Macaca fascicularis: one gene and its partner. The protein of the gene in region 2 purifies or fractionates together with the protein of the main gene of each other region. This does not show direct contact. Links are inferred from orthologs where the notes say so. Each region holds a gene or a part of one and is shown on either strand. Other genes may lie near its edges.

Region 1 (3,500 bases), on a different chromosome or scaffold from region 2:
ATTGCTGGAGGTTTTTTCAGTAACTTTTTTGGTGATCTGGAAGACAGATATTTCTATTCTTTTTTTTGTGTGTGTGTGAGGTAGAGTCTTGCTCTGTCACCTAGGCTAGAGTGCAGTGGTGCGATCTTGGCACACTGCAACTTCTGCCTCCCAGGTTCAAGCAATTCTCCTGCCTCAGCCTCCCTAGTAGCTGGAATTACAGGTGCCTGCCACCATGCCTGGCTAATTTTTTTTTTTTTTTTGTATTTTTTAGTAGAGACAGGGTTTCACCGCTTTGGTCAGGCTGGTCTCAAACCCCTGATGTCAGGTGATCCATCCACCTCAGCCTTCCAAAGTGCTGGGATTACAGGCATGAGCCACAGCGCCTGGCCCAATTCTCTTCTTTTCTAGTCATATCTGCAATGTAGATTGAGGAGTAAGACATTTACGTGATTCTGCTCCCACTACATGTCCTTTTAATTTTCCCCATCAGAGTAGTAAAAGCCTTCATTTTGATAATCTGGCAAGTTTCTCATTTGGTTAATTTGTATAAATAAACATACAGATTTGAAGGATGTAGTGAATATATAGTCTTTTTTTTTGTTTTTTTGATCTAAAGAATGGTTTTGTGACCCTTACAACTATTTCAAATAACGGACCCAGAATCCATTTGAGAAGTGTTCATTACTTTGATAAGAATATGGTCCTGATTGTGATTGTTTGGATTATAGTAAAGCCTAAATTTATTTTATGAAAGTCCCAAGAACTTTTTCCCATTTAAGTGACTGAACATGCCTCCTTCCTCTAATGTTAAATATATTTTTGGTAAATTGTGCCAGAGGGCATTGCAAAATATTTTGTGCAGCAGAAATACCCTGTTCCACCATTTATGTCCTCCTAGATCATTTACAATTTTTTACATTGATATGTAAATCTAGTAAGAAGCTTTTTAGATAGCCAGGCATGGTGGTTGATGCCTGTAATCCCAGCACTTTGGGAAGCTGAGATGGGCGTAAGAAGCTTTTTGGATAGCCAGGCACGGTGATTCATGTGTGTAATCTCAGCACTTTGGGAAGCTGAGCCTAGGAGTTCAAGACTAGCCTGGGCAACATAGTGAGACCCTTTCTCAAAAAAAAAAAAAAAAAGATCAGCTGAGCGTGGTGGCATGTGCCTAGGGTCCCAGCACTTTGGGAGGCTGAGGTGGGAGGATCACTTGAGCCCAAGAGTTCAAGACCATCCTGGGCAACGTAGTGAGACCCTTTCTCTTAAAAAAAAAAAAAAAGAAAGAAAGAAAAAGAAAAAAGAATTAGCTGGGCATGGTCCCAGCTACTCTGGAGGCTGAGGTGGGAGGATTGCTTGGGCTCTGGAAGTCGAGCTGCAGCAAGCTGTGATCATGCCACTGTACTCCAGCTTAGGGGATAGGGCAAGACCCTGTCTCAAAACAAAGCTTTTTGAATGATATGATTTTGTGAAAAGTGAATAAAGATAGTAGTTTCCACTAAAGCCATAACATATTAGGCATTTCCATGTATCAATATTAAATTAAATGAGCTACTATTAATGGCATTGAATGCCATAAAGTACTTGCCTTTTCTTGGCATCATGTTTGGTGAATGAGGTGTATGAGAAATCTCATTTCAGCAGCCCTGGAGGGTGCTGGTTGCTGGTGTGATGATTTAAGCACATCATTTGTAATTCCCCTCTGTTGTCAGCCTAGTGTGCTGTTGGGACACTAGGGTGCTTATTAGGATCTCTATTCTATGCCCTGCCATGACTTTGGCAACTCAGATGGCTTAGGGAGGGGCTTAATTTATTACTGATTATTAAATTACATTCACAGTTTATTATTGTTACAGGGGCTTGACAATAGTGAGTCAGCTTTTGGAGTGAAGTGTGGGCTCTTAGCAATGGCATTTCAGGCACTCTTGGATGCCCTTGTCAGACTTTCCCCTTGGAACTCACTGCCTTCATTACCTTTGTGACATTTTAGTTTTTTTCCTGCTGAATGTGGCTCTTTTTCTTCTGGTTTAAGGAACAACCTTATATTATCAGCCTGGCCTCCTGTATGGTGGATCTGTGGAACATGACTGTAGCGTCCTTCGTGGCATTGGCTATTACCTGGAGAGTCTTCTTTGCTTGGCTCCATTTATGAAGCACCCGTTAAAAATAGTTCTACGAGGAGTGACCAATGATCAGGTTGACCCTTCAGTGAGTATTGAGAACAAACCGTGGTGTGGTTTTTGTTTTGTCTCTTGTCACAACCCGACTTGTGAGACAAAAGTTCCTCATAAAGCAGTTTTATTTCAAATGTATATTCTTTTTGTTATTTACCTTGAGATTTAGAGGTTAATCACTCCAGGATGCAGATGAACCAAAACTTAGGGTCATCAAATTCAGGACTATTGTTAACAGTTACCCAGGCGCCTTTTGTTGTTATCTAAGAACCTTCAAAACAGTTGCTTGCAGTCATAGTGGACATGAACTATAGTTCTGTTGGCTGTAGTATGTCAGAGTGGAGTTTTTGTAAGGTCCTGTGGTAGCTGAGGCTAGAGGGCAGCCTATCAAATTTTGGGCAGGAGATCATAGTTCCTTGGCATTGCTACAGCATAATCTTGACTTACCCAGGCTTCAATCATAAACTCAAGGGCTTTTGTTTTCTGAGAAGAGTTTGCAGATAGAAAAAGGGCATAAAGTCAGGAAAGGAATGTGTGAGATTTGGTAGTTTGTGGGTGTCAGCAAGCTTTTCATTTTTATTTTATTTTTTTCACCAAGAGCCATGCCAGAGCAAACTTTTTATTAAACATGCTAATTTTTCTGCAGATATGGAGAGAATGGTTTAATATCAAGCAAAACTTTTTATTATGATCACAACTGTCTTCGTGCCATTCTAGGATGGTGTGTGTGTGTGTGTGTGTGTGTGTGTGTGTGTATGTCAGAGAGATACAGAGAGATTAGAGAAGTCTAGAGAAGTCCTGTCCAGGCCTTCCTCCCTTGTAGGGAGGCGTGGATTCCCTGCTTTTGGATGCTCTGCTGTCAGAGAAGATACCTTAAAACTGATGGCCATGATGCAAAGTCCAGACAGAGGTAGTATGCTTGTCTTTACCATTACAGGCCAAGACCAATGAATGGGTAGCTTCTGAGGCAGAATGTGAATTATGTAGCTTTTCTACTCAGGGAGGACCAATGAGGTGATGCTGTGAGCCCCAAAGTAGAGACTGCTGGTATTCACCAAGATACCTACTAGGGTATAAACGTTGTTAATATGTTCTTAGGCAATAAAAACTTATTCTTCAATTCTTGGAAATTTAGCTGCATAAACTCTTTTTCCTGGGATACTGAGTATAGTACAAGATCTGGAATTCTTAAGCTGTAAAGGAATGTTGCGTAAACTCTTTAGAATATTTAATTAAGTGTTTTTTTATTTTTATTTTTTGCATTTTCTAGAAGACTATAGGAAATGAGTTCTTTGCATAAAAGAATGAGAAGAGGTATAAATACCTTTAGGTTGGAAGAGGGGAAGG
Region 2 (4,165 bases):
AGGATTATCTACCTGGATACTGAAATCTTCAAGAAGTAAGCGGTGTAGTGTGAAGAAGTTACAATATTCTAAGCTCTTCACGGATAAGGGAAGCATGTGCCACGTAGGTAGCCTCTCTAGTCCAGCACCCAGTATATAGCATATGCGGAATGAATACCTGGTGGCTGCTGAAGGCCAGAACAAGGTGCCTGTGAGAGGACCTGATGCCTGGGGTTCTCGTGACAGGAGTGGGCCTAGTTTTTGGTGTAGAATTAAGCCTTGAATGCACCAGCGGGATCATATTGAAAAGAAACCTTCTAAGACTACAGGAAGATGCATCCTCTGACAATGTACGCTCTGTAGGCATCCCAAGTAGCTGGGCTGGGGATTAGATGGACTCCAAGGCATTTCCTCAGGTGGCAACGGGCGGATCCCTGGGAAGGCAAAGCTGTGCAGGAAAAAAATGGCAAGATGCTCTATTCCCTCAGGGAAAGCCCTTTCCTGGGAGCAGGGAAAGCCCTTTCCTGGGAGCAGGGAAGGCGAGGCAGTTTGGGCTTGGTCAGTTTGTCCCTGCCCTCAGGGTTTGTTGGTCCTGGCAAAAGAGGGCCTTATTTTATTTATTTTTCTTAGAGACAGTGTCTTGCTCTGTCGCCCAGGCTGGAGTGCAGTGGCTCATCTCAGCTCACTGTAAACTCCACCTCCTGGGATCAAGCGATCCTCCCACCTCAGCCTCCAGAGTAACTGGGACCACAAGCACCACAGGCGCCCGGCACAACGCGGCTAATTTTTTTTTTTCTTTTTTTAGAAAGAGAGAGGTAGTCTCCCTATGTTGCCCAGGCTTGTCTTGAACTCCTGGGCTCAAGCGATCCTCCCGCCTCGGCCTCCCAAAGTGTAGGGATTACAGGCGTAAGACCCCGCGCCCTGCCAAAAGAGGGCTTTAGGGCACCCCAGAACGCGAGATTCCCCTCATCTGTCATCTTTAAAGAGGAGGAAGTGGACTCCAAATCGAGCGATAGTCCATTCGTCCCTGGTACGGTGATTGCCGGGAGGCCAAGACCAAATGTGTCTCCTTCCGGCTTTTGCACCACACTAACTAACCGGCGCCAGGCCGCAGAGCCGCCCTGGCCTTCGGCGAGGACTTGGGCGAGTGCGGTGCTCGCTGCTCCAGAGTCCCACCGCGGAAGTTGAGGCCGCAGATTCCGAGGGCGGGGTGGAGCGCGTTCGGTAAGTACCCGGACCCGGTGAAACGCACTGCGTGGACTGCGCCTGCGTCCGCACTCAGCTTTTCAGCAGTCTTTCTTCAGGCCCTGAAAGCCGTCCCCACGCCGGTCTCTTTTTTCTGCCTTCTTGTTTCCCTCCGGCGAGTCGGCGCGACGGTGAATTTCCGTTTCCGGCGGTGTCCATGCTGAACTGAGGAGTCGCAGTTGCCAGCAGGTTCAGTACAGCGGGCTGGGGTAGGCGGCGGTGGAGTCCCTGATTCTGGGGCACTGGGAGGATCGCGAGTCGTGCGCGTGGGAAGGTCCTTCCCCGGTCCTCCGGGTCATCTTTGCTCCCGAGGAGCGGCATATTTCTCATCTGCCGGAGGTGTCCTGTGGTAGTTGGGAGAGTGACCGGATGAATCCCTGCAGAGAGCCCGGACAGGGAGGGAAGGTGGCTGGGAGACGTAGTTTCCTGGCGACTTGGTCTCGGCAGGCGACTTAGTCCTGAGTCGGATCTGTTGACCCGAAATTGTGCTTTTCCCACCAAAAAAGGACAGGGAGAGAAACATTAGTACAAGTTCCGAACTAAAATATAGCAGAGAAGAAACATAATCATTGAAATCACACAGCTCTTCAGTTTCAAAGCGTTCCTAGCGCCTAGCTTTTCTAACTCCCGGCCAGTGTTCTTGACATTATGGTGATATATAAAGACTTTCTGTTTCCGCTGGTGTGTGAGTCTGTGGGAAGCCTCTGACTCACCTCCGTGCTCCAGTAGCACCCTGTGCAGCCTTCCAATGTCGCCCTTATTGCATGGCGCGGAAGATACTAGTTTGGATTTCCTCTGCAAGTCAGACCATAGCTGTATCCATTTACTGGCACAGTGCCTAGCACATCATAGACAGACAAAATATTTATTAAACTGAATGAATACAGTACCTTAATTGAATGAAATAGTATCCTGCTCCCCCCTTTTTTTTAAATCAAGCTGTCAGATTTTATGAAGCCCCATTTCCTAAAAAAAACTCACTAATTTAGTGATTACCAATTTATTAGCCACAGATTCCCAGGTAACTCAGAAATCACTGGAAGGGTCTCTGTAAGTTCATGGGGTCTCCAGGTATCATCTAGAACCAGTCCTATCTCACAAGTTAATACTTGACAATTATATATTGTCTGTTGTACTCTTTATAAAATGTGCTAAGATATTGCTATTTCTCAAATGTATATAAGTAAGTTGTAATTTAGGAGTTTTACAGAGTCAACAGGTACTAAAAGTAATACTGCGATCATATTGGAAGTTCATAAAAACGTTTTACATTTTTTTATTAAAATGTAAGTTTTAGTTTAAGTTGGGAAACCACTTCTTTACTCCAGTTGATACTTAGGTCTGAGCTGTCCGGTGTGGTAGCCACATGTGACTTTAGAGTTAGAATGAAATTAATTAAAAATTCATTTTTTCAGTTTCCCTAAGTATATTGTTAAGTAACCACATGTGGCTGATGGCTAAATGGCTGAAAAGTACAGATATAGAATATTTCTATCCTTGCAGAAATAGATACTGCTGATGTTGACACTTAAGATGAATAAAAAGTAACAGCAATAAAATGTAACTTTAGGAGAGGTAACTCATCTAATTTATAGCATAACAGAGAGAAATGAAATTGGCAATGGTTAAGCAATTTCTACCCTTGTTCAGTAAATAAATACATCATCTCTTCATAAAGAAATAAATGAAATTTACTGTTTTTCCCTGGGTATTGCCTGGATTGTAAAATGCTTCTCCCACCTCCTTACCCCAACCTTCTTCCTTGTAGGTTAGAGTTACTTGTTATTGGTAAATAGCTACAATGGAGACTAAAGACCAGAAGAAACACAGAAAGAAAAACAGTGGGCCCAAAGCTGAAAAGAAAAAGAAGCGGCATCTGCAGGATCTCCAGCTAGGAGACGAAGAAGATGCCCGGAAGAGAAATCCCAAAGCTTTTGCAGTTCAGTCTGCTGTGCGGATGGCTCGATCCTTTCACAGGTATGTTAGGGTACAGTGTGATCGTTCTTCCATTGATTCTTTTTAAATAGTAGGAGCCTCTCACAGGTGACATTTGGATTCATGAGTCTAGTCCAGCTCCAAAGGACATGGAGATGCGTGGTGTGTGGCTTTCACTAAAACGTGAGAAGCTTTCCCATAGAAGCTGCCTTGCCTCCAGCATCTGCACACTGGTTGGTGTTTATTGCCCAAGATGCAAGAATTTATAGAATTTGTTTGTTCCTAAATTTTAAACTGTTTCTATGGTGATAAGTGTGCTTTTTTCCCCCTAGGTATGTTTTACATAGTTGTAATATAAAATACAAAAATTACAATATTTAATACTAACATAGCTTTATTTAGTGTGCCCTTGTGATATGCCTAGCGGTATACTTTAAACATTATTCAACTAAATGCTTCCAGCAGCCTTACCAGAGTAGGAATCATTCTTGCCCTCATTTTATGGGTAAGAAAACTGAGGTCAAGAGAACAAGTTACCTCCAATCATGTAACCAGTAAGTAGGAGAGCCAAATTTAACTCCAGAGCCTCTGCTCTGTTATGATGCACTGCCTCGGTATTTACCTTTTGGTTTTTTTAAAAACTATTAAAATCACTCTTAAAACAGTCAGATTTAAGGAGTGTTTAATTTTCAGCTCTCTATGCTATTGAAGTCGTCTTGTTACATCTTTATTGAACAGCAGTTATTTGGATGGGGCCAGAAGTTAACAAGTTAATAACGGACAAGTTAATTATATATTGTCTGTTGCCCTCTCAATAAAATGTGCTAAAGTACTCATATATATAAATGTACTAAAAAAGTTTACTTATGAAGTTGATACCTTTTACTCTATTTTGAAAGTGAGTTTACTATTTATTTATTTATTTATGTATTTTTAATGAATAGGACTCAGGATTTGAAGACAAAAAAGCATCATATTCCAGTGGTTGATCGAACTCCACTGGAGC

Evidence for each region. Proteins that work in one complex are often made in the same cells at the same time.
Region 1: the proteins of BMS1 (region 2) and RCL1 purify together in Homo sapiens (co-immunoprecipitation; 4 studies listed by BioGRID and IntAct, with this or other methods). This does not show direct contact. The link is inferred for Macaca fascicularis from reciprocal best matches to the Homo sapiens genes BMS1 and RCL1.

Annotation. Positions count from the first base shown.
Region 1 is NC_088389.1:94,285,422-94,288,921, reverse strand, and holds part of RCL1 (RNA 3'-terminal phosphate cyclase-like protein), read left to right. Parts: intron 1-2,011; coding exon 2,012-2,187; intron 2,188-3,500. UniProt on the Homo sapiens protein: As part of the small subunit (SSU) processome, it plays a role in 40S-ribosomal-subunit biogenesis in the early pre-rRNA processing steps at sites A0, A1 and A2 that are required for proper maturation of the 18S RNA.
Region 2 is NC_088383.1:52,040,519-52,044,683, forward strand, and holds the start of BMS1 (ribosome biogenesis protein BMS1 homolog), read left to right. Parts: upstream 1-1,365; 5' UTR 1,366-1,413; exon of another isoform or gene 1,414-1,433; intron 1,434-2,992; 5' UTR 2,993-3,025; coding exon 3,026-3,201; intron 3,202-4,103; coding exon 4,104-4,165. UniProt on the Homo sapiens protein: GTPase required for the synthesis of 40S ribosomal subunits and for processing of pre-ribosomal RNA (pre-rRNA) at sites A0, A1, and A2.